Saccharomyces cerevisiae S288C: one gene and its partners. The gene in region 1 interacts genetically with each later gene. Each region holds a gene or a part of one and is shown on either strand. Other genes may lie near its edges.

Region 1 (6,634 bases):
TGAATTTTGAAGTATCGTCATTATTCAACTGTAATAACTTCAATAAATTCTCTAATTTTTTCGCTTTATCCTCTTCTGACATTCTATAAATACGTTTACTACCGAAGCTCTATGACAACCAGAGCTATTGTACAGATCATTCTCTAAAAAGCGTGCAACACATATCATCTTCAATTATAGTGAATTACTTTTATCATGAGCAACGGCTGAAATTATTTTATCCTATTGTTTTATGACAGTATCCTTTCAAAAGAGTCGAAAGGATCCTCTGTTGCAAGAACTACTATTACGTAATTATACATAGTCCGCCTGCAATTTCTAGTGAGACTTTGCTTTGCTTTCCACTTTGCGATTAATATTGAGAATTTTAAACGTTAACTGAATTCTTACCCACCCATAATAAGAACTCTAACTGGCGAATTTATCATGAAACAAATCTGCAAGAATAAAAAATTAGAGAATCGTGCAATTCAATTTAATTGCCTTGTCCGTTGTAAAACTTTTCCATAGGCCCTACCTTGAGTTGATCATATGTATTATTCTATATATATTATATCCAGTCGGGTAATAAATTTTCTCGCCCTCGAAAAAAAGAAGTGAAAAATTTGTCTCGATGAGCTGAGATGAGTTTGAAAGAAGCAAAGAGTTTTAATTTGTAAACGATAGCAAGTGTACCCTCAGTTGAGTCTATTACGCCTTCCTTATTTGGAAACTTAGAAGACGAATAAAAAAAACAAAATAACTAATGATTTCTGCTACTAATTGGGTTCCAAGAGGGTTTTCCTCGGAATTTCCTGAAAAGTATGTTCTGGATGATGAGGAAGTGGAAAGAATTAACCAATTAGCACAGTTGAATTTGGATGATGCTAAAGCTACTTTGGAAGAAGCAGAAGGCGAATCAGGTGTTGAAGATGACGCCGCAACAGGTAGTTCTAATAAGTTGAAGGATCAGTTGGATATAGATGATGATTTGAAAGAATATAACCTGGAAGAATATGACGATGAGGAAATTGCAGATAATGAGGGTGGTAAAGACGTTTCCATGTTCCCGGGTTTAAGTAATGATAGCGATGTTAAATTCCATGAGGGTGAAAAAGGTGAAGATCCATATATTTCATTGCCTAATCAAGAGGATAGTCAAGAGGAGAAGCAGGAGTTACAAGTTTACCCATCCGATAATTTAGTTCTTGCTGCGAGAACAGAAGATGACGTTTCGTATTTGGATATCTACGTTTACGATGACGGTGCTGGGTTCCACAGTAGCGATATTCCCGTTGAAGAAGGTGATGAAGCTGACCCAGATGTTGCTCGTGGATTGGTTCGTGACCCTGCACTTTACGTTCACCATGATTTAATGTTGCCTGCTTTTCCACTATGTGTTGAGTGGCTTGACTACAAGGTTGGATCCAATTCCGAAGAAGCAGCCAATTATGCTGCCATTGGTACGTTTGATCCACAAATTGAAATTTGGAACTTGGACTGTGTTGACAAGGCCTTTCCCGATATGATTCTGGGTGAACCTCTTGATAATTCAATGGTGTCTTTGAAAAGCAAAAAGAAGAAGAAGAAGTCTAAGACTGGACACATTACTACTCATCATACCGATGCTGTTTTATCCATGGCACACAACAAATATTTCCGTTCCGTTTTAGCATCCACCTCTGCAGATCATACCGTAAAACTATGGGATTTGAACTCAGGTAACGCAGCCCGCTCCTTAGCTTCCATTCATTCAAACAAAAATGTTTCATCATCTGAATGGCACATGTTGAATGGTTCCATTCTTTTGACCGGTGGTTATGATTCTCGAGTAGCTTTAACAGATGTTAGAATTTCTGACGAAAGTCAAATGAGTAAATACTGGTCTGCCATGGCAGGTGAGGAAATAGAAACTGTTACATTTGCCAGTGAAAATATAATATTATGTGGTACTGATTCTGGTAATGTGTATTCTTTCGATATTAGAAACAATGAAAACCGTAAACCAGTTTGGACATTGAAGGCACACGATGCTGGTATCTCCACATTATGTTCAAACAAATTCATCCCTGGTATGATGAGTACAGGGGCCATGGGTGAAAAGACTGTCAAATTATGGAAATTCCCCTTGGATGATGCTACGAACACTAAGGGCCCAAGCATGGTTCTGTCTCGTGATTTCGATGTCGGAAATGTATTGACATCGTCATTCGCTCCAGACATCGAGGTAGCGGGTACCATGGTCATTGGTGGTGTCAATAAAGTTTTGAAACTATGGGACGTTTTTACCAATAGATCTGTACGTAAGAGCTTTAAAAGTGAACTAGAGAATGTTCAAGCAAGAGCAAAAGAAGAAGCCCAAAAAATAGGAAAAAGTTCAAGAATCGCCAGAAAATACACCAGTAACGATAACCCAGATACTGTTATAACCATTGATGATCAAGGTGAAGATGAAGAAGAAAGAGAAGGTGGAGATGAGCATGATGACATGGCATAATCTGGATATGAAAAATATTAAAGCAGAGTACATTGCAAGTACAAATAAAAAATCTATAGAAGATAATACTGTATACTAGTGTAAGAGGAGCCTCAGAAAAAAACAATATAATACATTAATATGTGCTGTTACGGTATAATTTAGCATATGATGACAATGTGGTGAATTACAGTTGTGTAACTTTTTTATATCACCCGGCATATATACGCTCGTAGAATGCGATGTGAAAATTTTCTTTTTTTTTTTTTTTCAAAGTGAAATTTTTTTGAGTGATGAGATGGGAAATGAAAAATTTTGTGCAATTGCGTAGTGTCTACAGTTTTTTAAGTAGTTATTAAAAGTGTTTTGGAAGGTATATTTCTAGGAGAAGAAGCGTGCAGAACAGTATTTAGTGAAAGATGGCTCCTATTGAATACCTACTGTTTGAAGAACCTACTGGTTACGCAGTTTTCAAGGTTAAGTTGCAACAAGATGACATTGGTTCAAGATTAAAAGAAGTTCAAGAGCAAATCAATGATTTTGGTGCTTTTACAAAGTTAATCGAACTTGTATCTTTCGCGCCATTCAAAGGTGCTGCTGAAGCCCTTGAAAATGCTAACGACATATCAGAAGGTTTAGTCTCTGAGAGTTTGAAAGCTATCTTGGATTTAAACTTACCAAAGGCTTCCTCGAAAAAGAAGAACATTACTTTGGCTATTTCCGATAAAAACTTAGGTCCTTCTATTAAGGAAGAATTTCCATATGTTGATTGTATTTCAAATGAACTTGCTCAGGATTTGATTCGTGGTGTCAGATTACATGGCGAAAAATTATTCAAAGGTCTACAATCTGGTGACTTAGAAAGAGCCCAATTAGGTTTAGGTCACGCTTACTCCAGAGCTAAAGTGAAGTTCTCTGTTCAAAAGAACGACAATCACATCATTCAAGCTATTGCTTTATTAGATCAATTAGATAAAGATATCAACACTTTTGCTATGAGAGTTAAAGAGTGGTATGGCTGGCATTTCCCCGAACTGGCTAAATTGGTACCAGACAACTACACTTTTGCCAAGTTGGTTCTTTTTATCAAGGACAAAGCTTCATTAAACGATGACTCCTTACATGATTTGGCTGCTCTTTTGAATGAGGATTCGGGAATTGCACAAAGAGTCATTGACAATGCCCGTATCTCCATGGGACAAGATATATCAGAAACCGATATGGAAAATGTTTGTGTTTTCGCTCAGAGAGTCGCTTCCTTAGCTGATTACAGAAGACAATTATACGATTACTTATGCGAAAAAATGCACACTGTTGCACCAAACTTATCAGAATTGATTGGTGAAGTGATTGGTGCTAGATTAATTTCTCACGCAGGTTCCCTAACTAATTTATCTAAGCAAGCAGCTTCAACGGTTCAAATTCTTGGTGCTGAAAAGGCTTTGTTCAGAGCTTTAAAAACTAAAGGTAACACTCCAAAATACGGTTTGATTTACCACAGTGGTTTTATTTCTAAGGCCTCTGCCAAGAACAAGGGTCGTATTTCTAGATACTTGGCTAACAAATGTTCTATGGCCTCTAGAATTGACAATTACTCTGAGGAACCATCTAATGTTTTTGGTTCCGTACTAAAGAAACAAGTTGAGCAAAGATTAGAATTCTACAACACTGGTAAGCCAACTTTGAAGAATGAATTAGCCATTCAAGAAGCCATGGAACTTTATAACAAAGATAAACCAGCTGCAGAAGTGGAAGAAACCAAGGAAAAGGAATCCTCAAAGAAGAGAAAATTAGAAGATGATGATGAAGAAAAGAAGGAAAAGAAAGAGAAAAAATCGAAGAAGGAAAAGAAAGAAAAGAAGGAAAAGAAGGACAAAAAGGAAAAGAAAGATAAAAAGGAAAAGAAGGATAAAAAGAAGAAAAGTAAGGATTAAAAGGAACAATGAATCGAAATAAAGTATATCCCATCTTTTTGTGTACTTTTCTTCCCTTTAAAGTTTTTCATATATATATATATTATCTTTTATTCCCTTCTAATATTCTTCTTTAGGATTTGGAAGCTGTATATTGTATATTTAGAAATATTATTAAATAAAAAAGTCATATGTTATTTTGAGCTTAAGTACCCTCTTATGCCTCTTTCACTCGCCATTACTGACATTCTGTGATCGCCATTCATATATATAGGCCTGATTGTGCACCAATTGCCGCGCTATCACACCTCCATAAGCGATAGCATTCTTCAGAATATCTTGAAGGCTCAAAACCAAGCCATTGACCGCACAAATCAACTAAAGAACCCATGTCAGACAACGAAAGTTTCTCAAATCCATTAGGCCCCTCACTAGGCGCTACAAGACATTTAAATTTCAGTCCCTTACTGGGACCGACAATCAATTGTGTTAGCACACTTCCTATGAATCCCGTTATAAATTCTGGTGGTTGTAGTGTACATTCATTTTCCGTCATTACCTTCATGCTGGCGATTTTATCAGAGGTGCCAATTACTATTATATCAGGGGAGAACTGGGCTAACTGTGATATGATAGATCTACTTATCATGTTACCAAAAATCGGCGATATACTAATGAAATTCTCCTCCATAGAAAATAATAACGTCTTTCCAAATGAATAAATCGGGAAAGAAAAACCATATACTGTTTCATCGGCGGTGTCATTTTTTTGATCAGGATCAACCTCGTTTGGAAAGTTTTCGTCGTAATTCCACGAGTGTTTACCTGAAGATTGGGGAAGACTTGGACTTTTCACCGTCAATGTAGTTTTAATTTCACCAATAGAGGTTAATTGAAGCAGATTTTTGGGGAATAATGGGTTCATTATCTTAGTAGTAATGACGGCTGTCGAATATTGAGGAACATCCAAGTCCTGAGGAAACTCAACTTTTGGAACCGGGCAGACTTCTAAAGATTGCAGGTTTTTTGAAATCTCTGGGAGATCTAGCAGATGTTTTGGTTCTGGTAAGTCATTCCATTGTTTAAACTTCAAAAAGAATCAAGTAACATAAGTTAGTCAAACCACTCTACTCTAGCAAAATATGATGGGGAAAAAAGATTATTGTAACATACAAGCATCGCTATAAATGAAAATTTTACTGTAGTGCGATGATATCTTGGTCGCTGTTTCTTATTATTTCGCCTGTTGCCACCTATTGCCACGCAACTTCTTAAATTGATTTCAATGAAGTCTGAAATTTTGATGCGAAAGAAAAAAAAAAGTAAAGGCAATAAAACTTCATCAAGTCAAACGTCATCTATAAATAATCCCACTTCAGAATTGAAAAAGACTACATTTGAGTGGAGGAACAAAAGCAAAAATGTCTGAATTAGGTGCCAAATATCAACAGTTGCAAAATGAGTTAGAAGAGTTTATTGTGGCCAGACAAAAATTAGAGACACAATTACAAGAAAACAAGATTGTAAATGAAGAGTTTGACCAATTAGAAGAAGATACACCTGTGTACAAATTGACAGGCAATGTCCTTTTACCAGTTGAACAAAGTGAGGCACGTACCAACGTGGACAAAAGATTAGAGTTCATCGAAACAGAAATTACAAGATGCGAAAAGAACATAAGGGACAAGCAGGAAGAACTAGAAAAGATGAGAAGCGAGCTAATTAAACTGAACAATACAGCAGCTTCCACTGGCCCAGGAAGGTAAAACAAACTCACAGGTCCTCGGAAAGACAAGAAAGCGCACAGTACCAATAAATCTGCCCAAAATAAAATTTTCTTTTATATACAATTATGTAACTTACAAACAAAATACCTACGCATTTCACTGTCCTAAACTTCAAATTGACATGTAAGATTGCTTAACCCCTAACTAATTGAGATTTGATTAAATTTACCGTAGACATTAACGTATACCAGGCAAACTCTTCAGTATTGTTATAGTACTCACCCAAACGCATGACCCTATGTAATTTATCCTTTGCAAAAGTAAACGTTTCTTTGTAATTGTGGGATTTATCCTGAGCCATAAATAACTTTGAACCAATGTAGGTGCTCGAAACAGCCAATCTCTTAGCATACCATGCAGAATCATGGTGGTCCTTTTCGTTGGAAAAGTAAATCATATCATCGGACAATCTGTGTAGTTCAGGAATTGCAGTTTCAAAGAGAAAGGCGCTTGGAATAGCCAATTGTGACATTAGTTCC
Region 2 (9,414 bases), on another chromosome or scaffold:
GCCTCTTCTCCAGCTGATACGTGGCGAAGAGCTCGTTGAAGGCTCCTATAAAGAACGAATAGTAGTCCTGTTCTGTGGCAACTGGCGCTGTGTCTCCTTCCAGTTTCCGCCTGTTGGACAAATCAGTAATGTAATGCAATTGAGGCGTAGTGACACAGCCTAGGTCCAAAACTTGCGCGTGGAAGACGCTGGCCATGGAGGAAGTCAAGCAGCGCAGCAAGTATGGACTACTTTCCCTAGAGTCTCTCCCAACCACGATGTGAGGCACGACGGTTGTATTCAAATCAATCTTTTCGTGTTCAATCAGCTTGGCCAACTCAACACGAAATTCTTCAAAATTAGTGGCAAAAGAGGCCGCATTGGCCAACTGCATGGCATATGGCTCCCATGTGGCCAAAAGCATCGATCCGTCTGGTTCCACGATCTTGACCCCGTTGTCCTGGTATGGGTTGTGCGACGCCGTGATCATCACCCCCACATACTGACCCTGAAGCTTCAGCGACCTGAGAACCGCCAGTATACCAGTACTGAACATCACCGTATCCAAATTCTTGGCCAGCGTTCTGAATCCGGCCGTACCGTAACTGAACTGCACATTCTTTGTGCGGCACGTGTCATCGTAGAGTTTGCACAATTGCTCGTAATCAACCTTCATCGTCTCTAAGCTTACTGCTGACCTTTGCCTTGGTCCTTGTACTTGTCTCGATTGCTGAAACCATTAACGGTTTTTTGTTCTTACTTAATCTTTTTTTTCCCGACGACGCAAAATGTCAGAAAAGATATAAATAGAGCAACGTTTCCTGCTACATGAAACACGCTGGCATATAGAAGAACTTCAACGAGCGAGGCTCTCTGAACAATCTGCTAATCGTGCAAGTAAGGGTTCTCGTGACAGTTCACCGTGTATAAACAGATAAACAGATAAACAGTCAGATATGCTTAATTTTTAACTGTAGGCTGTGCCGACATGCCATTTTATGCGGCTCACTTCTAACAAAAGTGACCATGACGCACAAGCAAGCAAACAGCCAAGTAAGGAAGCAGACAGCTTCACAGCACACACACACCGTTGTGTACGAAAATCCTCTGCAGAAGAGTGTATATGCCACTCATCCACACTTCCGCAGCGCAGTACGTAATGCGGTATCGTGAAAGCGAAAAAAAAACTAACAGTAGATAAGACAGATAGACAGATAGAGATGGACGAGAAACAGGGGGGGAGAAAAGGGGAAAAGAGAAGGAAAGAAAGACTCATCTATCGCAGATAAGACAATCAACCCTCATGGCGCCTCCAACCACCATCCGCACTAGGGACCAAGCGCTCGCACCGTTAGCAACGCTTGACTCACAAACCAACTGCCGGCTGAAAGAGCTTGTGCAATGGGAGTGCCAATTCAAAGGAGCCGAATACGTCTGCTCGCCTTTTAAGAGGCTTTTTGAACACTGCATTGCACCCGACAAATCAGCCACTAACTACGAGGTCACGGACACATATACCAATAGTTAAAAATTACATATACTCTATATAGCACAGTAGTGTGATAAATAAAAAATTTTGCCAAGACTTTTTTAAACTGCACCCGACAGATCAGGTCTGTGCCTACTATGCACTTATGCCCGGGGTCCCGGGAGGAGAAAAAACGAGGGCTGGGAAATGTCCGTGGACTTTAAACGCTCCGGGTTAGCAGAGTAGCAGGGCTTTCGGCTTTGGAAATTTAGGTGACTTGTTGAAAAAGCAAAATTTGGGCTCAGTAATGCCACTGCAGTGGCTTATCACGCCAGGACTGCGGGAGTGGCGGGGGCAAACACACCCGCGATAAAGAGCGCGATGAATATAAAAGGGGGCCAATGTTACGTCCCGTTATATTGGAGTTCTTCCCATACAAACTTAAGAGTCCAATTAGCTTCATCGCCAATAAAAAAACAAACTAAACCTAATTCTAACAAGCAAAGATGAAGTTAGAAAATACTCTATTTACACTCGGTGCCCTAGGGAGCATCTCTGCTGCTTTGGTCATCCCAAATCTTGAAAATGCCGCCGACCACCACGAACTGATTAACAAGGAAGATCACCACGAGAGACCCAGAAAAGTGGAATTCACTAAGGACGATGATGAGGAGCCATCTGACTCTGAAGATAAAGAACATGGAAAGTTCCATAAGAAGGGCCGCAAGGGCCAAGACAAGGAGTCTCCGGAATTCAACGGTAAACGTGCAAGTGGCTCTCATGGGAGCGCCCACGAGGGAGGAAAGGGCATGAAGCCTAAGCATGAAAGTTCCAATGATGATGATAATGATGATAAGAAGAAGAAGCCTCACCATAAGGGTGGCTGCCACGAAAATAAGGTGGAGGAGAAGAAGATGAAAGGTAAGAAAGTCAAGGGCAAGAAGCACCACGAAAAGACGTTGGAGAAAGGGAGGCACCACAACAGGCTGGCTCCTCTCGTGTCCACTGCACAATTCAACCCAGACGCGATCTCCAAGATCATCCCCAACCGCTACATTATAGTCTTCAAGAGAGGTGCCCCTCAAGAAGAGATCGATTTCCACAAGGAAAACGTCCAGCAGGCACAACTTCAATCCGTAGAGAACTTATCTGCCGAAGACGCTTTCTTCATTTCTACTAAAGACACCTCCTTGTCCACCTCTGAGGCTGGCGGTATCCAGGACTCATTCAACATCGATAATCTTTTCTCCGGTTACATCGGTTACTTCACCCAAGAGATTGTCGACTTGATACGTCAAAACCCATTAGTAGACTTTGTTGAGAGAGACTCTATTGTCGAGGCTACAGAATTTGACACTCAAAATAGCGCCCCATGGGGGTTGGCCCGTATTTCCCACAGAGAGCGCCTCAACCTGGGGTCCTTCAACAAGTATCTCTACGATGATGATGCCGGTCGCGGTGTCACGTCCTATGTTATTGACACGGGTGTCAACATCAACCACAAGGACTTCGAAAAGAGAGCCATTTGGGGGAAAACCATCCCACTTAACGACGAAGATCTCGACGGTAACGGCCACGGTACCCACTGTGCCGGTACTATCGCTTCCAAACACTACGGTGTCGCTAAAAATGCCAACGTTGTTGCGGTGAAAGTCTTGAGATCAAACGGGTCTGGTACCATGTCTGATGTCGTCAAAGGTGTCGAATATGCCGCAAAGGCGCACCAAAAAGAAGCCCAAGAAAAGAAAAAGGGGTTCAAAGGTTCCACAGCCAATATGTCGCTTGGTGGTGGCAAGTCCCCAGCTTTGGACTTGGCTGTTAATGCAGCCGTTGAAGTCGGTATTCACTTTGCCGTGGCTGCTGGTAACGAAAACCAAGACGCTTGTAATACCTCCCCAGCTTCTGCTGACAAGGCCATCACCGTCGGAGCTTCCACGTTGAGCGATGACAGAGCCTACTTTTCCAACTGGGGTAAGTGTGTCGACGTTTTCGCCCCAGGTTTAAACATTTTGTCCACCTACATTGGAAGTGATGACGCCACCGCCACTTTATCGGGTACCTCAATGGCTTCCCCTCACGTTGCTGGTTTGTTGACCTACTTTTTGTCTTTGCAACCAGGTTCTGATAGTGAATTTTTCGAATTGGGCCAGGATTCTTTGACTCCTCAGCAATTGAAAAAGAAGCTAATTCATTACAGTACAAAGGACATTTTGTTCGATATCCCTGAAGACACTCCAAATGTTTTAATCTACAACGGTGGTGGTCAAGATTTGTCCGCTTTCTGGAATGATACCAAAAAGTCCCATTCATCTGGTTTCAAGCAAGAATTGAACATGGATGAATTCATTGGATCAAAGACCGATTTAATCTTTGATCAAGTGAGAGATATTCTTGATAAATTGAATATTATTTAATTCTTCATTTAGAAAAATTTCAGCTGCTTTTTTTTTTCTTTTTCTTTCCTTAGGCGTCTCGAGGTTACAAGTCGGAGTCCCTCTTCACTATCGTTTGTCCACTTTTTTTATATCCCCATTATTTTCAATCTGAATTTCATTTTTTTTTTTTAATTCATGAAATTTATATGTCCCACGTATTACTACATATTTGCGTTTTTAATTAAATAAATAACTGTTACTTTTATTATATCTTATTTGCAGATCACTTATCTGATCAAATGTTTTCGTTTTCGTGTGTGGTGACGATGTATTAGGTACGCGAAATAAACAAAACAAACAAACAAGGCCGCAACAATAACATCATCTAAAGACTTCCTTTGTGACCCGCTTCTCAACAGCGGGTGTAGAACTTATGGTATGGCCAGAAAGTAACGTTGAGTATAGATACAGAAGCAAGCAATTCAAAGGAAAAAGTAATAAAAAGTATATAAAAGCGCAAAAAATACAACAAGAAAGAATTTGTTTGATGCCAGCGGAAAACCAAAATACGGGTCAAGATAGAAGCTCCAACAGCATCAGTAAAAATGGCAACTCTCAGGTTGGATGTCACACTGTTCCTAATGAGGAACTGAACATCACTGTAGCTGTGCGATGCAGAGGAAGGAATGAAAGGGAAATTAGTATGAAAAGCTCCGTTGTGGTAAATGTTCCAGATATTACAGGTTCTAAAGAAATTTCCATTAACACGACGGGAGATACCGGTATAACTGCTCAAATGAATGCCAAGAGATACACAGTGGACAAAGTCTTCGGTCCCGGCGCTTCCCAGGATCTAATTTTTGATGAAGTGGCGGGCCCATTATTCCAGGATTTCATTAAAGGTTACAATTGCACCGTACTGGTATATGGTATGACGTCAACAGGTAAAACATATACAATGACGGGCGACGAAAAGTTATATAATGGTGAATTGAGCGATGCAGCAGGAATTATACCGAGGGTTCTTTTGAAGTTGTTTGACACATTGGAACTACAACAGAACGATTACGTAGTAAAATGTTCGTTCATTGAACTCTACAACGAAGAATTGAAGGACCTCTTGGACAGCAATAGCAACGGCTCTAGTAATACTGGCTTTGACGGCCAATTTATGAAAAAATTGAGGATTTTTGATTCAAGCACAGCAAATAATACCACTAGCAACAGTGCTAGTAGTTCCAGGAGTAATTCTAGGAACAGTTCTCCGAGGTCATTAAATGATCTAACACCTAAAGCTGCTCTATTAAGAAAAAGGTTAAGGACAAAATCACTGCCGAATACCATCAAGCAACAGTATCAACAACAACAGGCAGTGAATTCCAGGAACAACTCTTCCTCTAACTCTGGCTCTACCACTAATAATGCTTCTAGTAACACCAACACAAATAACGGTCAAAGAAGTTCGATGGCTCCAAATGACCAAACTAATGGTATATACATCCAGAATTTGCAAGAATTTCACATAACAAATGCTATGGAGGGGCTAAACCTATTACAAAAAGGCTTAAAGCATAGGCAAGTAGCGTCCACTAAAATGAACGATTTTTCCAGTAGATCTCATACCATTTTTACAATCACTTTGTATAAGAAGCATCAGGATGAACTATTTAGAATTTCCAAAATGAATCTTGTGGATTTAGCTGGTTCAGAAAACATCAACAGATCCGGAGCATTAAATCAACGTGCCAAAGAAGCTGGTTCAATCAACCAAAGTCTATTGACGCTGGGCAGGGTCATAAACGCACTCGTAGATAAAAGCGGCCATATACCTTTCCGTGAATCGAAATTGACCCGCCTGCTTCAAGATTCCCTGGGTGGTAATACGAAAACCGCACTAATTGCTACTATATCGCCTGCAAAGGTAACTTCTGAAGAAACCTGCAGTACATTAGAGTATGCTTCGAAGGCTAAAAACATTAAGAACAAGCCGCAACTGGGTTCATTTATAATGAAGGATATTTTGGTTAAAAATATAACTATGGAATTAGCAAAGATTAAATCCGATTTACTCTCTACAAAGTCCAAAGAAGGAATATATATGAGCCAAGATCACTACAAAAATTTGAACAGTGATTTAGAAAGTTATAAAAATGAAGTTCAAGAATGTAAAAGAGAAATTGAAAGTTTGACATCGAAAAATGCATTGCTAGTAAAAGATAAATTGAAGTCAAAAGAAACTATTCAATCTCAAAATTGCCAAATAGAATCATTGAAAACTACCATAGATCATTTAAGGGCACAACTAGATAAACAGCATAAAACTGAAATTGAAATATCCGATTTTAATAACAAACTACAGAAGTTGACTGAGGTAATGCAAATGGCCCTACATGATTACAAAAAAAGAGAACTTGACCTTAATCAAAAGTTTGAAATGCATATTACTAAAGAAATTAAAAAATTGAAATCTACACTGTTTTTACAATTAAACACTATGCAACAGGAAAGTATTCTTCAAGAGACTAATATCCAACCAAATCTTGATATGATCAAAAATGAAGTACTGACTCTTATGAGAACCATGCAAGAAAAAGCTGAACTAATGTACAAAGACTGTGTGAAGAAAATTTTAAACGAATCTCCTAAATTCTTCAATGTTGTTATTGAGAAAATCGACATAATAAGAGTAGATTTCCAAAAATTTTATAAAAATATAGCCGAGAATCTTTCTGATATTAGCGAAGAAAATAACAACATGAAACAGTACTTAAAAAACCATTTTTTCAAGAATAACCATCAAGAATTACTGAATCGTCATGTGGATTCTACTTATGAAAATATTGAGAAGAGAACAAACGAGTTTGTTGAGAACTTTAAAAAGGTCCTAAATGACCACCTTGACGAAAATAAAAAACTAATAATGCAGAATCTGACAACTGCAACCAGCGCGGTTATTGATCAAGAAATGGATCTGTTTGAACCCAAGCGCGTTAAATGGGAAAATTCATTTGATCTGATAAATGATTGTGACTCCATGAATAACGAATTCTATAATAGCATGGCAGCGACGCTATCGCAAATCAAGAGTACTGTTGATACATCATCAAATTCGATGAATGAGTCTATTTCAGTCATGAAAGGACAAGTGGAAGAATCGGAGAACGCTATATCCCTTTTGAAGAACAATACCAAATTTAATGATCAATTTGAGCAGCTTATTAACAAGCATAACATGTTGAAAGATAACATTAAAAATTCGATAACATCAACACACTCTCATATAACTAATGTGGATGATATCTATAATACGATTGAAAACATAATGAAAAACTATGGTAACAAGGAAAACGCTACCAAAGACGAAATGATCGAGAACATATTGAAGGAAATACCAAATCTAAGTAAGAAAATGCCGTTAAGGTTATCAAACATAAATAGCAATTCAGTGCAAAGTGTAATATCGCCCAAAAAGCATGCAATTGAAGATGAAAACAAATCCAGTGAAAATGTGGACAATGAGGGCTCGAGAAAAATGTTAAAGATTGAATAGTTGATATTGCCTTTCAGTCGAATATATATTCAAACTAGTGGTTAATAAAAACAAAGTATGTAAAGAATACTCAGTTATTCATTAGAAGGCAAGACAGAAGAGAAGGGTGTGAAACCACCTCTACCAAACACACCAAGAGATGAACCTAAATCAAATTTTCACAGAGCTAACTATATAAACGTTTGGATTCGTGTGTACTATCTTTATTTACGGAAATAAGTTGTAATATTAAAAAAAAAAAAAAACATTTTGATGGACAATGAATTTCTCTAATTTTAACTCAGCTATTAATTACCTTAAATTCTCCTAATTCGTTTAGGTAGCTTTCGACTTCTAATTTAGGCTTGCTCAGTAAAACGCAAATTTTATCAAATGTTTCGGCATTCCTAATAGACTCTTCAAGAATACCTTCTTCTTCGTCGCTGAGTTTCGGCATAGTACTTTTGCCTGTTGCCAACGAACTTACCCTTTGCATTTCAAATGAAACCTTTGATGGTCTTTCTGGTTTCAAGTTGCCGGATTGTGCCGTATTTCTAGACCCTGTGGCTGAAAGCAAATGATTGTGATTTCTTTTTTCAAGTAACTTATCATTATTCACTAAATCTTTTGTTATTATTGGTGTCATTTCTTTTGGTTCACGTGAACCTGCATTTATCATTACAGGAAAAGAGTAGCACCTGTAAATGATACGTTTTTCCAGGCCAAACGTTATGAACCTTCTTATATCAATGTTATTTTCTTTTAAAATCATATATTTCGACTCATACCATGTTTTCAGCGTTTGACCTTGTGAAAGTGACCTATAAAGGTCAAATAGGCATGATCTTGTTGGTAGGAATCGGTTACGATTGTTGATGACATGAATATTTGAACTCGAGCAGGAGGTTTGTGATTGCCTCCAGTCTTTATAAATTGATGAAAAAGAGGAATTTAAGGAGGAGTTTTGAGAAACTCTACTGGTAGAACTAAAAGATGTAGTTCTAGAATCCGGGTTTGACGGTATGCTAGATGATTTGGATTTTCTTCGTACAGAAAATGATGGTGAGTCTTGGTCACCTGAACCCAGACTTTTGTTTAAGGGCAAGTTCGATATTTTAGACACTTCTGGGAACGTAACATAAGATTGACAGTCACTAGCCATTAGTGGATCAGTCAAAAAATTCCTAATTAATGAAGAAGGAGCGTATATGTTAGAAAATTGGAAAATATCTGATAATGTAACACACTTATAGTATATTAAGTGACGTATGCACTCTATCACTAGGCCAGGATCACTGTTGCTTAGTTTAGAAATTTTGGCAATGCTGTTTAAGCCATCAATGTAAGGGACTATACTCATCATGGTTGGATCCCAGTTGACATCAATAATCTTCTTCAAATTTACAGACGACAGGGGCACATCTTCTAATGAGACACAAGTTGTCGGTGGTCTCAACAGCGGAAAAATCTTTATGTCTACTGCATTTCCCTCATCAATTGGTATGAGGCATTCGGAATAGTTATTCAGGTCTTGGAAAATTCTCATCAATAAATCTTGTATGGAAAATGCGGATTGCGGAAGGCCCAAATCCTTGATAAGGTCACTGTATCTGCTGCTTCTCATATCCTTTGTATCCTTTTCGGATGTAGGATGAGTTGGTGTGGTGTTACTACTAGGATTTGGCGTGGATGAAGGACCTGCAGTGGAGGGTGTTGTTGTGGAGTTTTCCAACACCTTCAAATCGAAGAAAACTGGATCTCTTTCCGATTTGGATAGCAATTGATTTTGTTCTTCAAGAACTTTGAACATTTTGCCCAGCCTAGTAATAGCTGGTTCGTAGGGAGACGTCTCACAATCATATGGGAATACAAATACAAAATTAAAACTAAAAAAATTCCTAGCATATATTGGAGAATTGATTGTCACAGGATAACATACAATCCTATATGTACCATACTTAAAAGTGATCAACTTGTGGCATAATATAGGCTTCGGTATGATGTAGTTTTTAAATGTGTTGAAATTAATACCATGATTTTTCAAATTATTTGGCGGAAACTCG
Region 3 (8,852 bases), on another chromosome or scaffold:
GAGAATCACATTTTCCTGTGGTTTAGAATGTACGTGTCCCTTTTTGCCGTACCTTTTTTGGGAGTTCTTAGATAAGGGGCTGGCTACAGAATATCTGTTTCCTCTATTGTTCCATTGGAAGTTCGACTTCAAGTGCGGTGTAACGTTCCCCGTGCGTGAGTCAACGGAAACTGCGCATCTTAATAAGGTACCCTGTCCACCGCATGAGGCACAGAAGTGCTTTGGCTTGCCGTCTTTTGGTAGAGGAAATATTTTGAAACAGGCGTGGCATCTTAGCATATAATTACGGATTCGCTTGATTTTCAGACCTGACATGAAATTCATTAGATTTAGATTCATCTGCAACGCTACATTTTGGACGGCAAAATCGCCAGTCGCCAATGCCACCTGATTCTCTGGTCGATTCAATGCGACATGGCGATCCTCTTCGGACGCTTCTACACCCAATGAACCAGTGGTATCTTCACCACTATCCTTAATAATTGCTTCTGTTAAGTTCTCGGGGGTAATCCAATCACCATCATCATCAGCATCCTCGAATACTTCATTTAAATCGGAAGATTCCTTTATATTTTCATCATTACATATCTGCTCTTTGGATCCAGCCTCCTCAACATGTTCCTCAGCTTTACTCTCTAGCTCAAGGTTTGCATTTTCAGCTTCTCTTGCTTCTCTTGCTTCTCTTTTTGCCTTTTGCTTTTTTCCACCTCTTCTCTTGTTCTTTTTTTTTGGAACACTTTCAGAGTCCTCCTCCTTTTTATTATCTTCTGTGAGCTTCTGTTTGCCGTCCGTACCAACGTCAGCCTTGGACGCATCTAATGCATCACCTGGTTTTTTCCTCAGTCTCCAATCGCCATTATTTAGTTTAATTTCTAACTCGTATGTCAAAGCAAGAATATGCAAATCATTGGCACTCAGTACGGAGTAGTCACCGGTCAATTTGGCGAACGTACTTACTTTGGCTATCGAGTTTTCACTTGGATGTACTAATTTCAAAGTTCCGAGGCTCTGCCAAATTTCAAGGTTTTTCCTTGCTTGAGCATCCTTAATTTCTTGAAAAACTGTGGGAGTAGTATAAAAAGACTGTGCATAATTCTGGTAATGTGTGTAGGACTGCGTAATTAATGGGGTGGCATCCAATATCAACGCCCTTACATGTGCGGTTTGGTTTTCGGTCATATTATGCTCCTTTAAAGAAACTTTAGAAAAATACTGAACTATGATCGCCGATGAGATTTATCTAGCGCTGACTGAACGACCTCTATGTTAAGAACATACTTGAGATAATGGTGCTGTTTCTCCATGTAGACTTCTTCTTAGCAGGTAAAAATTTGCCAATGCAAAACAAAGCTCATCGAAAAATTTTGATCTTGCATTATGGAATGTCCGGGTTTTTCTATTGAGACATTCAAATTTTGAATTCTTCTTCAATAGAACCAGGCTCAGCACAGATACAAGAGAAATGATAGTAGATAATACCGCCATAGTGCTTATGCATCATCTGCTAATTCTTTTAAGAATGATCTTCTCAGTCTTACACTGACGAGCACTATATTGATGACTTTGATCACTATAAACGAAGCCAATATAAGCACTTTAGGGTGTAAGGTCTCAAGATGAGTTGATCATATGCGATATATCTTTGAACGCTAATAATTGAACGAAAGCACTATGACAAAGTAATGGCAGAAGTCTTTTAAGGTTAAAGAGGTAGTTGTTTTAAGGAAACGAAAAAGAAATGCCTGTTGAAAAAGATTTAAAAACTGCCTACAAAGCTTTGTATGATGAGAAGGAACCACTGAAGGCCCTCCATCTTTATGATGAAATTCTCAAAGGCTCACCCACAAATTTAACGGCTCTCATTTTTAAGGCAGCATGTCTTGAAAAGCTATACTTTGGGTTTTCTGATTGGCACAGCGATGCAACTATGGAAAACGCAAAGGAACTTCTTGACAAGGCTCTAATGACAGCTGAGGGTAGGGGCGATAGATCGAAGATTGGTCTTGTTAACTTTCGTTATTTTGTTCATTTCTTCAATATCAAAGATTATGAACTGGCCCAATCTTATTTTAAAAAAGCCAAGAATCTTGGTTACGTTGATGACACTTTGCCTTTATGGGAAGATCGTCTGGAGACAAAATTGAATAAAAAAAATAAAAAGCAGAAGGATTCAACTAATAAGCATACAATTAAACCAGTGGAAAGTATTGAAAACAGAGGAGATAATAATTCTTCTCATAGTCCCATTTCACCTCTCAAAATTGAAACCGCTCCTCAAGAATCCCCTAAATTTAAAATCGATTGGTATCAATCCAGCACCTCTGTCACTATATCATTATTTACTGTTAATCTTCCTGAGTCTAAGGAACAAGTCAATATATATATTTCTCCAAACGATAGAAGAACTTTATCGATATCGTACCAAGTACCGAAATCTGGATCTGAATTTCAATACAACGCTAAGCTTTCGCATGAGGTGGATCCAAAAGCAGTGTCATTAAAAATTTTCCCAAAAAAGCTGGAAATTACCTTGAGCAAAATTGATAGCACGCAATGGAAGAAGTTGGAAGAAGATATTTTAACGGAATCCTCAAGGTTATCAGATGAGGGTAAAAATTCTGATTCTGCAACCCGCTTATTATCAGCAGAAACGGCATCAAAAGAGAGATTGTCTTATCCATCGTCCTCTAAAAAAAAAATAGATTGGTCTAAACTTGACATTGATGAAGAAGCTGATGAAGAAGCGGGATCGGCTGATAGTTTCTTTCAAAAGCTTTACGCTGGAGCGGATCCAGATACCAAAAGGGCTATGATGAAATCCTTTATAGAAAGTAATGGTACTGCATTGAGTACAGACTGGGAAGACGTATCTAAGGGAACGGTTAAAACTTCACCACCAGAAGGCATGGAACCTAAACATTGGTAAATGATTAGTATATACCTACACAATTACAATATGTAGATATATAGTATGGTAGTAATGTTACATTTTCGATTTAGACTAGCCAACCTGCGTATTTACTTGGAATGCTTACATGATTATATTGAATATTACAAATTTTATTATGTCCATATTAATCCAGAGTCACGGTGCAATGGAAAAAGGAAAGGGAGAATGATAGAATAAAAGAAGGAAAGAAAGAGACAATGTAGCGAAGGCTAGAAAGTGATGTGAAAAAAAAAACCACAAAAAAAATAAATAAGAGATCAGAGGGTTAAATGAATGCGCTTTTAAGAAATTCAAATATCTGTAAAGGAGAATCCATTCAATTTCGAAACTTGCTCATTTTTCCATGTAATAAAATCCTTATCATTTTCATCTTCCATCATACTGGTATCATCAAATCCGCTTTCAATATCTTTTTGTTGAATGTTTAATTGAAATTTACCTTCTGGCGACATGGAAAGTTTATATATGCTGTGCTCAGGTTCTTTATAAGGACTGCTCAATTTTTGTGCGTAATCTTCTAATGAGCTTTTGCGTTCCGGGCTTCGTACATTCTCCTTACCCGTGGTGCCAGTCGACCTTTTAAGAAGTTCTAAAGCCTTTTCTTTAGTTAATTGAGGGATATGACTACCCTTAGTGTCGACTTTGTTCAGCGGGATAGGAAACAATTGGCGTGGTTTTACTGCATGTTCGCCATGCGTATGATTTATCCTAGGCGATGATGAAAGATCGGATGATCTGTTTCTGTTTAAGGTAGGTCTCTCTATATTCCCTTTGGAATTCCTAGATATTACTGTGGGTGCTAGTAATCTTGTTGCTCTTCTGTTCGGACTAGATAACTTCGTTGTTCCTTGCATATGACGAGCAAGCGAGTTCTCTTGGGATAGATCATTCTTTGTTAAGCCTTGTATTGTTTTCTTTGAAGGCGTTTTATAAGTAATGTTGGCATCATTTAAATTCAAACCAATCGGTACCCTGATGGAACTTTCTGTGGCCTTGAAAGTGTTTTTTATGACTTTATTCTCTTTGTTCGCACCACATTTTCCCTTTTTAGATCTCTGCATTCTAACTCTACATCTTGGATATTTTGCTTCGATTTCCTGTTGCTGAATGTCAATTGCTTCTGAAAGTGGCTTACCTTTGAACAAAAAAGGTTGATCAAATAGACCATCGGCCTCTTCTAATTTAATTCTTAAATCATTGATGACTCGAGGAAAGTGTCTTGTTATCCTTTTCCTCATTTTTTCTTCAGTTAGTAATATCTTATGAGAATTTCTAGACAAAAGCCGTGAAGAGTCTTTTGAACTTCTTTCCAAAAATTCTTGATCTTCTTGTAAAGATTCAAAATCTGATATTAATTTTAAAATTGGCTTATAAAGGGTCAGTTTTTCTTCTAGTCTTTTTAGCTCATTTTCGCAAGTTTCTAGAAGAAGCTCATCTTCCTGTAAAGTTGTTGCACTGTTCCTTAGTTCTTCAAATACAATGATGAATTTAGACCGACTTTCTTCTGAATACTGTAACGTACGCCACAATTCCTGAATTTTGTCCCAGGAATCTGATATAAGTTTTTTTATTAGTTTTTTTTTCATTGCTTCAAGTCGCATAACTTCTTTAGAGATTCTACCTAAGGACTCGGTTGATAAACTTGAATTGTTACGCATAAAAGTCTTTATGTATTCTTGAGAAATTTTTAGCCTTGTCCAAAGTTTTTGGCATTGTTCCATCAGGAGCCTCTTTTTGTCTGCTCTTTCCTTATGGATAGCTTGCAGTTTTTCCAATGTAATATCAATTTTAGACATTCTTTCTCTGTCTACCGGGTGGAAATTTGGTATTTCTGATGTGGAGTTTTCCTCTTCTCCATATGATCTTAGATCTTGTTCAAAATCTTCACCGATTAACGTTGCTAGGGGAGTTCCAAGTTGTTCACATATTGATGAAATACTAACCTTTTTTGTGAGTACGCTTTTAAACCTCCTCTCGTATTCTTCCTCGTAAATTTTTATGACTTCATTCATGTGTTTCACAGATTCTTCGTTAATAGTTTTAAATGCCGATCCCTTTAAAATATCTTTTCTATTATCTATAATAAATTTCATGGACAAACCAATATCGCCTTTACCATTTTCTATTTGTAACAAATATGCGGTTAATGTGCTTAATTCTGGAAACTCGGCGATAGCCTCGTTATCTGCTTCTGTCAATCCAGGAAGGTTTTCTTTTACAGATTGTATGAGGTGTTTTAGAGTGATTAAGGATTTTAAATAGTCGCGGAGCCTGGGTAAAAAACTTCCTAGGACAAATTTTTTTGCTGTATCTAATGCTGCTTTTTTGCTTAGTAAGGAAAGTGGCTTTTTCGGTGACTGTGGCACAGTTTTACTTTCTTGCAGTAGAATAGCATTTCTAATGTATAAGTCAGGAATAGTCTTTATGCCACTTGGGTCATTTATTCTCTCTAGAATGTTATTTAGAATATCCTGTTCAATTCCGTTCTCTGCGGACAGTCTTTTCAATTCTTCGTCAGCTTGCTCAAAAAATTGTTTTATGGAATTAGATATAGTGGTGAATATGATTTTCTCCTTGGTGATAATTTCCGTATTAGAATACCCAATATTTTGATATATGACATTGAGATTCTCCAGTAATTTCTCTAGATCCTTTGAAATAAGAATGAAATTTTCTCTATACATATTATCCATTGTGTTACCTTTACCATTTTCTGAGTCTAAAAAATGGTAATTAGTGGACACGTTTTTCAAAGGAGAACCAAAATCTCTAATACGAACTGGGGTCAACTTCATAAACTCTTTAGAATTTGATTGATTTACCATGGTCGACACAGTCAACGGTGTTGCTAAAGAAGGGTTCATATGCGGTATAACTGTAGTAGACCCAGAATTTTCGCTGTTTCTCCTCGATTTAATGGGCAAAGGGGAAGAAGTTGCTGTCTCCATTTCAACATCAAAAGTAGTGAATCCAAAATGAAACCTTTGAATTCTAATGCCAGAATGCTATATCTGATGATTAAAAATAGCCTATTAAAATGCTCTAATTAGTCCTTAAAATAATTATTCTCGGTAATAGCCGTTTGTTCGTATCTTTGCTATTGTTCTGTGAAAAAACCAGGTATTCGACTTTAATAATATTTTTGTATTTGTTTCCTCTTAAAGATTCTCAAGCTTATTTACCTTTTACCTCATTGGGAAATATTAGATGACGAAAGAAAATCACACTGTACGATTTTCTGGGCGGTTATTTAGTGAAATTAAATAATAACGTAGATATGGCAGACAGACTTATTGTTTATAGGCAGTTCTTTACAATTGTAACTATAAAAAGTGGCTATACTAGGAAAGAAAGTTTTTAAAGATGATTTGTTTTTTCTATCTTAAATCTCATATATTTATTTTTATTCACTTCTGAGAAATACAAGTTGCATGTCTCAAAACTTTTACTTTTCAACAAAATATTAATCAAAAAAAATAAATGAAAAAAGAAGACCATATTGAAGAACATTTAAAATCCTTTGTTTGAAATAGAGATCAAATATCTTGTATTAGCTGGTTTTAAATCAGTAGTATATTGCTATGTATGGTTTGATAAGATGATACAGATTGTTAGACGAAATTATTATCATAATGTTATCTATATTATGGAATGCCAACAATCATCAGCAAATACGTAAATATGACAATGGAAATGAACAAAGAAAAGAAGAAGAGAAAAATATAATACTATGTAGAATTGTCGAGCTCCAAAGGATATTCTATCTTGTTATCCGTAACATAATCAGCAGGGCGATCTGTGCACTTGTTATGAACATATGACATTTTTATTTATTCCCTTCGTGTTATTGTACTCGTGTTTTTTATAAATTTTCCTTCCTCGTAGATGGCTTGAATACCAAGTAATATTTCTTCTACCACAGTATTACTGGCGTAAGCAACTGAATTCTCCGAAAAGTTTTTTAGATAAACTGCCAAGTTAGTCTGTCATTACCTTTATATCGTCTTCCTTTAATCTGTAGGTCAGAGTGTTCACTGCTTCAAATAAATCTGCAGATATTCTTCCATTATATTCAAGGTTCAATATTCTTCATGCTTTATAGAGAACAGTTTGAAAATTGCTGCAATTGATTTCTAAAGTTTTCTTGAACCAAATTGGCAACAAATGAAACGGAACAAACGTTTGAAATGTTTTGTACAAATATGAATGCTCTTCGTACGATAGTGGTCGCAGAATTCACCCTGTTCATTAGAATGAATGTTGCCTGTGGGTTGGAATTTTTCAAAACTTGATGTAGAATTTAGTCCAAGTAGAAGTATTCTTCCCCCACAGAATGTGTGGCGGTGAAAAATTGCGAGACGTGATTGGTGTATCAAAAAACATACGAGATTGTTGGGTTAGTATACTGTTTCAACTACGTGAAGGGCTTCTCAATGGTGATATATACTATAAAATTGTTGGTTGAGTATCTGATTGAAAATACATCGACGACATTATAGTCGGGCGTCCTAAAAATGACCAACTAGATGGCTTGGCTTGATTCGGAGTGATTATATCGCTATAAGTACGGTCCATTCTGTGACGACAGTAATTGAGCAGATACGATGATGATGATTCTCTGGAGCAGCTGATAAAACAGGTGTATTATCCGTTGAAAGTTGGCGTTGCTGGAAACCTTATCATATGAGGTTTGCAAATTGGAAACGTGTGACGAATTTGATTTGTGTACGCTTCCCTAGAAGTAACCAAATCATAGGCTCTACCATGAGGTAATGAATGATTATTATTGGGCTTCTACCGTTGCTAAAGGCTATAATATTAGATACACAAAATATATGAAAGTTCCCCTCGAGAATTGAAATCCACCAAAAGAGTATCCATATCTCTTTCTAATAATATTGATATTCTTCTTCTGTTCTTTATGATAATAGTCATTATATTATTACATTATATATCCTTGCAATCCAGCTCCCATTAAATCTGATGACTGTTTCTCATCTTTAGGGTTATCTTTTTACGCCGCATATGATACTATATTAATAATATGAATGCTAGTCGATAAATAATACTTGATTCCTATTCCAACATACTCTATCCAAAATTATTTCCTTTATAAAAATTATACCTCAACATTTATCAAATAGTTTAGCAATGTATCCTTTTCGGTAGTTAATTACTTTAAATAACCTAAGTTAAATACCCACTATCTATAGAAATCTTTATTTAGGACGCTCCGAAGAACTCATCCTTGTTAGCTCAGTTGGTAGAGCGTTCGGCTTTTAAGCGCATTTGCTTAAGCAAGGATACCGAAATGTCAGGGGTTCGAGCCCCCTATGAGGAGTTCTTTATTTTTGTCAGTAACTATTCGGGTACCATCCTCTTCTTTTCTTTTTCCCCCACTATAAAACGAGTCTATCAATTCCCTTCAAGCATTAGTGGTAGTAATACATTTTAATCACATGAGAGTGTTCATTCAAAAATATATACTATTTCGTGTAAATCAAGTGCTCAATTACTCTTGTGCATCAAGTATGCTAGTAATTGGGCCGTAAATTCGATACAAGCAATCCCAGTAGCAGCTGTATTCTCGTCCATTCCTCTACGTGCCACAATCACGCCATGCGCATTTACAGCCTTTATGTATATTGGAACTCTAATCCATTTCAATTTGTTTAGATTTCTCAAAATAACCTTTCGGTTTTCATCAAAAGGCAGTTTTTTAAATTTAGATTTCCAAACACCATCATTTATAGTTGTGTATTTTTGGATAAATTCCTTCCAAGGAAGCTCTTCTTCGTTTACAAGATTACTATTACTTGCTTCATAGTTCGCATCCATATCTAAAGCCGAATTTATGATGGACCCGTATGCATCTGTAACATAGCCTTTCAGTTGCTCCGTC
Region 4 (6,825 bases), on another chromosome or scaffold:
TTGGAGAATGCACCAGCAGGATACTATAGTTCCCATGATAACGACGTTAATGGCGTTGCAGAAGATGAACGTCCATCTCATGATTCGTTGGGCAAGATTTACACTGGAGGTGATAACAATGAATATATCTATATTGGGCGTCAAAAGTTTTTGAAGAGCGACTTATACCAAGCCTTTGGTGGTACCTTGAATCCAGGGTTAGCTCCTGCTCCAGTGCACAAATTTGCTAATCCTGCGCCCTTAGGTCTTTCAGCCTTCGCGTTGACGACATTTGTGCTGTCCATGTTCAATGCGAGAGCGCAAGGGATCACTGTTCCTAATGTTGTCGTCGGTTGTGCTATGTTTTATGGTGGTTTGGTGCAATTGATTGCTGGTATTTGGGAGATAGCTTTGGAAAATACTTTTGGTGGTACCGCATTATGTTCTTACGGTGGGTTTTGGTTGAGTTTCGCTGCAATTTACATTCCTTGGTTTGGTATCTTGGAAGCTTACGAAGACAATGAATCTGATTTGAATAATGCTTTAGGATTTTATTTGTTGGGGTGGGCCATCTTTACGTTTGGTTTAACCGTTTGTACCATGAAATCCACTGTTATGTTCTTTTTGTTGTTCTTCTTACTAGCATTAACTTTCCTACTGTTGTCTATTGGTCACTTTGCTAATAGACTTGGTGTCACAAGAGCTGGTGGTGTCCTGGGAGTTGTTGTTGCTTTCATTGCTTGGTACAACGCATATGCAGGTGTTGCTACAAAGCAGAATTCATATGTACTGGCTCGTCCATTCCCATTACCATCTACTGAAAGGGTAATCTTTTAAGAGCACGACCTACTAATAACGAGAACTATTGAAATAAAAAAGAGTAGTTTTTTATTTTTCAATTTTTTAATATGATAATTATTTTATGACTTATATAACCACACCAACTAATCGTACTTTTATATGTTTAAATAGAATGGCTGTTTCAGTCGTACACTATTAATAACATTATGTTACTTCGCAATTAAATGTTTTTCAAAGCTAAAACTTCAAAACAAGATATAAACAATGTACAAAAATGATTACGAAAATATAGATGATGTAAGCAAGGTACGGTTATAAACAGTTAACATATAAGTTTACTTCACTTTTTTGCTGACTCCTTTACTTGTCTTCCCTGCACTTTGATTTTACTTCAGAAAAAATAAGATATATGTTTCTGATAAAACTTTTAGGTTAGCGGAGAAGATGTTGCCACGAATATCATGTAATTGAAAGGCAACGAAAGGTCTATCGTTTGCCATTCATAATGTGATTCGACTTGTCTTTTTCATTGTAACAGACATGAAACGTTTCCTTTACGTCCCTATGAATTTTTGTTGGCTGAACTGGGCGCTGCAGGGGCTGGACGATCCAAATGCGCGGATTTTGAACAATTATGAGAATCCGAATTAAAAGAAAGGGAAAACAAATTTAATAACAGGCAGACGTGAGAGAAGAAAAGGAAACGCTGTGATATAGAAAACTATACAAATCCTATTATAAGAAGCCAGAAGAAAGCTGATACAAGATGAGTTGGGAAGGTTTTAAGAAAGCTATCAACAGAGCTGGTCACAGTGTGATAATTAAGAATGTCGACAAGACCATTGATAAAGAGTATGACATGGAAGAACGTCGTTATAAAGTTCTTCAAAGAGCAGGTGAGGCATTACAAAAGGAAGCCAAAGGTTTCTTGGACTCATTGAGAGCTGTGACAGCATCACAGACTACCATTGCCGAGGTCATCTCTAACCTCTATGACGATTCAAAATATGTTGCTGGTGGTGGTTACAACGTTGGTAACTATTATTTGCAATGTGTTCAAGATTTTGATAGCGAAACTGTTAAGCAATTAGACGGGCCCTTAAGAGAAACCGTACTAGATCCAATAACAAAGTTTTCGACGTATTTCAAAGAAATTGAGGAGGCCATAAAAAAGAGAGACCATAAGAAACAAGACTTCGATGCTGCGAAGGCAAAAGTTCGTAGATTAGTGGACAAACCTGCTAAAGATGCCTCTAAACTGCCAAGGGCTGAAAAAGAATTGAGCTTAGCTAAAGATATTTTCGAAAATCTTAATAACCAATTGAAAACTGAACTACCACAGTTAGTTTCATTAAGAGTACCTTACTTTGACCCAAGTTTTGAAGCTTTAATCAAGATTCAGCTAAGGTTCTGTACTGATGGTTACACTCGTTTAGCGCAGATTCAACAATATTTGGACCAACAATCAAGAGACGACTATGCCAATGGGTTATTAGACACTAAAATCGAAGAACTATTAGGACAAATGACAAGCCTAGATATTTGTGCGCTCGGGATAAAATAAATTAATGCTTTTGCCTTTAGTTTTTTACGGTCATTTATGTTTCTTTCATTTAAATTAACAGACCTAAATAGCACTATAATTTACTATCTGCTCTATCTGACCAACCGACTCTTTTTAAGAAAGCAATTAAAAAGCGATAATAACCGCGGGCATGTGTTTTTGTTAACATGAACACAATAAACGTAAGAATGTCTAGCAATAAATTCAAAATTATTATCTTTTTTTTTTTTATTGTTATGTACTATTTTTTTTTTTAAATAAGGTTACAATTCTTTTTTAATTAATGGGATTTACCAATTTGAACGTGATCCGTAATCAGCCAAACGGGATATAAAAGTAGAACAATAGAAGCGAGGAATAAGATACGAATGCCGGATAACAAAGCATTCCTTAGTGTACTAGATTAAGTAAAAAATACCGAATTGTTCCAAAATATCGTGATATTTGAAAGTGAAGTACTCGTTTATTTCAATGCGCGCCCATTATGGCAGCATTTTATCTCCCTTCCCCATTCACTGTTCAAAATTTGTTTCCCGTTAATTCTTCTGTACGGAACGGGATCTAACATCGAATATATAACATTCCTACACCTGGCTCTTTTTAAACTTTCGATTGGCTCATAGCCTCCCTTTTCCTTACGTCCTTTTAAATAATTCATATAAAATGGATCGTCTTTTTCAGCAGAACTCCACAATTGTCTACCAGTTCTCATTGCCATATAAATGACACCACATGCCCATATATCTACGGGTCTTGGATCAAACTCTTCTTTGATATATTCCTCTGGGGCGATGTACGGCGATGAACCGCAAACGCCTCCACTAAGGTGAATATTTTTTTCCCATGCCATCTTGAAACATTCGCTGTTACCAAAGTCTGTAATTTTTAGCACACCATCGTGCGTAAGCAGTAAGTTCTCAGGCTTCAAATCTCTATGACAAACACCCATTTCATGCATATAAACAACACCTCTAATAAGCTGCTTGAAGAAACAATCTGCTTCCATATATTCTAATTTTCCGGCGGCAACGACCAAAGTGAATAGATCGCCACCTGCACAATATTCCATTACTTCACAGTACTCGCCTTTGGCATCTTGGAAAAGATCTAGTGTAGTAACAATATTTGTATGGTGTAATGAAGAAGAAATGCAAAATTCAGAAGTCAACCTCTTAGAATACTTTTCTGCTGATTCGGATGTTCTACGCTTGAACTCTTTCACTGCATAAAGCTTTTCACTTTTATTACCATCTTGAGAAGAAACATTTTTCTTTTGACATATTCTTACTACACCAAAAGCACCTTTACCAAGGACTTCTTGACAGCGACCATACTTTTCGGCAAAACATTGCCTATCTTTTTTAGTAGTAGTGATATTATGCGTATTATTTTTGGAATCTTTTTGATCTGACCTGTATATATCCCTTTCAGGACAATTTAAAGCGCCACTTGTGGGAGCGCCTTCTGGATATTTATCATCCATATCCACGACCTGCTTCATGAAGCCTGCAAAAAGAGTAGGAGGATTCTTGTTGGATTTTAAAGTCGTCTTTGGATCCATTATTATATCAGGGACAGCAGATTTTGCCTCACCACGTAATTTGCTCGCACCAACCATGTTTTTAATCATTGTGCTTAGCTTTTCTTGTCTCTTAGCATTTTTTAAGTGATGTTCATGGGTACCATCTTTATGCACAAGAAACCTCCCACAAATAGGTGCACTTGTATTGGTTATCTTATTTACATTATTAATATTTGAAGCAGTGGGAGTAGGCGCGGGTGTAATAGCAGTATTGCTGTTACTATGATGAGAGAACTTTGGGCTCAAACTTTTGGAGCTAATATTTATGGCTGATGTGGGTGATAAGGATAAAGCTGATACTGACGAAGTTAAAGAAGCAGCTGATGATGACTTAGAGGTGTTAATATCAATATGGTTGTTTAATGATGCGGATGAACTAGAGTGCGATGGTGATGCCGACTGGTAATATTCGGGCATATACATGCCCGGTTTACTCACACCTGCAGTATTAGAAGGATTAGAAACTACCCTAGGAGTAGCAGTGGTTGGGGTATGTAAACCAAATTTGGCTGATTTAGACGCCGATGGAACGTTTGTGTTTATATTAGAAGGTGGCTGGATATTCGATGAGGCCTTTCCCTGCCTAGATGATCTTGAACCGCTTCTAAAAAGTTGCATAACTTTAGAAGATAGCGCATGTTTCCTTGGAGTTTGCTGAGGAATAGCGGCATTATTATCATTCATACCAGTCATATATTTGAGGGGTAATGTCGAAATAAAATAAAATCTGATTACTTTTTTTTTGATTACAGGGAATAGTAGTCACAATACTTACTACTAGTTAATATCTAGCGGTAAATGGAGAGTAAAAAAAGGTTGAGAGCCTAATATTAGAAAGCTACCTTAAGCTTTCCAGTTTTTATTTGTAACTTAAAAACGCTTAAAGGCTTAGTACAACTTATTGAACAGGACTTTGAAAGTCCAAATTTTATTCGATAATGTTAAAGTGAATAACAACAACCCAGCAATAACAACAACAACAACAACACAACAGGTTATAACGAAACCGACAGGAAATCGTCAAAAAAAAAAAATGATAAAAAATTCTTAAAATCGAAACTCCAAGTAAAGGTCTATATTAGGGTTTAATAAACTTTTGCTAAAAAAAATTGCCGAATATCTCTATAAAGTAGTATATTTTCTTCTCCGTTTCCTCTTCCCTCTTTAAAAGCTGTAATATTATATATACTATTTGTATAGCGGAAAATGCGTGAGATGGCAAGAGCTCGGCCTGTTAACATATTAGCACGGGGAGGCCGATGTTGATTTGATGAAATGACGTGCCAGGTGATTTTTCCATTCGCCATGCCGGGGGTTGAGAAAAAATTTTTTCTCCGTCGGAGATAAAAAAAAAAAAAGAAAAGAAAAATTAACGACCCCAGTGAGGGTTGAACTCACGATCTTGCGATTAACAGTCGCACGCCTTAACCAACTTGGCCATGGAGTCATTTTATCTTGTGTCACTTTTACAGAAAAAGTATTACTAATATATGTTGAAAATTTTCCAACTACCCTTCGAGTATGATTTTACAACTGCGTCAAAGAAACCATGCAAAACAGTTGACTAATATCGCAACTGTTTTTTTTTCTCATTGCCTTTGAAAGAATGGAACACTCCTCACCACGAGGTTCTAAAAACTATACCAACCACAGTTTGGACGTACATCTGAAGATGGCATCCAATAGCAGCGGTATTCATTTGTGCGGGCTGGATTGAAAAAAGCATCACAATTATTGGGGCGTTTATTGTAGTCTTTGAACCGAGATAATCCAGGTGTTAAATATTGGTTGGATATGCATGCAAAATTTTCAGCAAAAACGATGGAAGCAGAACAAACAGTGCTTATCTTTGCTTCTGCTCTTGTGTAAGTCTAAAGGACAATATCTTTGTTATTAAGCACTCTAGCTGCCCACTGTATAAACAGAACTTTTGACAAAAAGTCTAGCCAGCGATGATATAATTTGCCTGCACAAAGAGTTTACTATTAGTAGCACAACTAAGTCATCGAAACGCTTTTAGTGGACAGATCTAAAGTTACAAATATTTAGGTATGCGTAAAAGGGTAATTAACCTAGTATCAAATGAGTCGAAGCCCCGACCGCGCCCAGAAGAAAAGCCATTATCATTTAGGTGACGCCTTGTTCTAAGGCTTAGTTAATAATATTCCTTTCAACCAAACAATGACCTTCCAAGGTGTTCAGTAAGTGGCTCTCATTTTAAGTTAGTTGGGTATTATACGCCTTGTATCCGGGGCTATGCTTAGGTTAAATAAGAATACTGCTTGAATAGCTCAAGTTTACAAAATAATTTAAAAAGAGTTTATGAACTTCAATAAAACTTCGAACCTGAAAATGTAAGTCTGTGTTCTGTTTATATACACCAGTCGGTTGTCTATACCATATCAAGACAAGAAACAAAACTCCGTATCTGCATGCAGCCTCATTTAGACAACAACAGTAATAATGACGATGTCAAATTGGATACATTAGGGGAACAAAATGTGTTATCATCCGCAGAAAATATCACTTTACCTGAAGACACCTTTAAATCATATATGACCTACTTGCTGTACGAGATGGCTCATTACAAACCGATGATATTTTCCTTCTTGGCACTTTCAGTTTCAATTTTAATAGTTGTGATCTTTCATAATGTTAAAGCTTGTGATGTCGTTTTTGGTTTTTCAATTTTCGTCACTTCTATTTTGTTTTTGTCTACGTTGATTCCGTTTAATGTGTATATCTCGGATGAGGGTTTCAGAATTAAGCTTTTGCTGGAAGTTATCACCCACAGGCCAGCGGTAAAGGGAAAAGAATGGAGAGCAATCACAGACAATATGAATCAATATTTACTTGATAATGGTTTATGGAGTACTCGCTATTACTTTTATAGTAGTGA

What was found.
Region 2: mutations in YKE2 (region 1) and CIN8 together harm fitness more than expected from each alone (negative genetic interaction), as found in Saccharomyces cerevisiae (5 studies listed by BioGRID, with this or other methods).
Region 3: mutations in YKE2 (region 1) and ASE1 together harm fitness more than expected from each alone (negative genetic interaction), as found in Saccharomyces cerevisiae (5 studies listed by BioGRID, with this or other methods).
Region 4: mutations in YKE2 (region 1) and RVS161 together harm fitness more than expected from each alone (negative genetic interaction), as found in Saccharomyces cerevisiae (7 studies listed by BioGRID, with this or other methods).

What each region holds. Positions count from the first base shown.
Region 1 is NC_001144.5:543,223-549,856, forward strand, and holds YKE2 (tubulin-binding prefolding complex subunit YKE2), read left to right. Parts: upstream 1-5,789; coding exon 5,790-6,134; downstream 6,135-6,634. Other genes in the region: glycylpeptide N-tetradecanoyltransferase NMT1, read right to left, coding at 1-82; rRNA-processing protein PWP1, read left to right, coding at 746-2,476; snoRNP complex protein NOP56, read left to right, coding at 2,875-4,389; PBA1 (Pba1p), read right to left, coding at 4,631-5,455, 5,542-5,547; ubiquinone biosynthesis protein COQ9, read right to left, coding at 6,289-6,634. UniProt on the Saccharomyces cerevisiae protein: Binds specifically to cytosolic chaperonin (c-CPN) and transfers target proteins to it. Binds to nascent polypeptide chain and promotes folding in an environment in which there are many competing pathways for nonnative proteins.
Region 2 is NC_001137.3:34,493-43,906, reverse strand, and holds CIN8 (kinesin motor protein CIN8), read left to right. Parts: upstream 1-4,369; coding exon 4,370-7,372; downstream 7,373-9,414. Other genes in the region: phosphoacetylglucosamine mutase PCM1, read right to left, coding at 1-655; HHY1 (Hhy1p), read right to left, coding at 947-1,255; SOM1 (Som1p), read left to right, coding at 1,283-1,507; PRB1 (proteinase B), read left to right, coding at 1,954-3,861; nitrogen permease regulating protein NPR2, read right to left, coding at 7,653-9,414. UniProt on the Saccharomyces cerevisiae protein: Elongates the mitotic spindle by interacting with spindle microtubules to generate an outward force pushing spindle poles apart.
Region 3 is NC_001147.6:430,448-439,299, forward strand, and holds ASE1 (Ase1p), read right to left. Parts: upstream 5,899-8,852; coding exon 3,241-5,898; downstream 1-3,240. Other genes in the region: NOB1 (rRNA-binding endoribonuclease), read right to left, coding at 1-1,179; co-chaperone SGT1, read left to right, coding at 1,739-2,926; LPL1 (putative hydrolase), read right to left, coding at 8,459-8,852. UniProt on the Saccharomyces cerevisiae protein: Required for anaphase spindle elongation.
Region 4 is NC_001135.5:126,264-133,088, reverse strand, and holds RVS161 (amphiphysin-like protein RVS161), read left to right. Parts: upstream 1-1,546; coding exon 1,547-2,344; downstream 2,345-6,825. Other genes in the region: ADY2 (Ady2p), read left to right, coding at 1-816; serine/threonine protein kinase SAT4, read right to left, coding at 2,808-4,619; DFP3 (DUP240 family protein), read left to right, coding at 6,359-6,825. UniProt on the Saccharomyces cerevisiae protein: Component of a cytoskeletal structure that is required for the formation of endocytic vesicles at the plasma membrane level.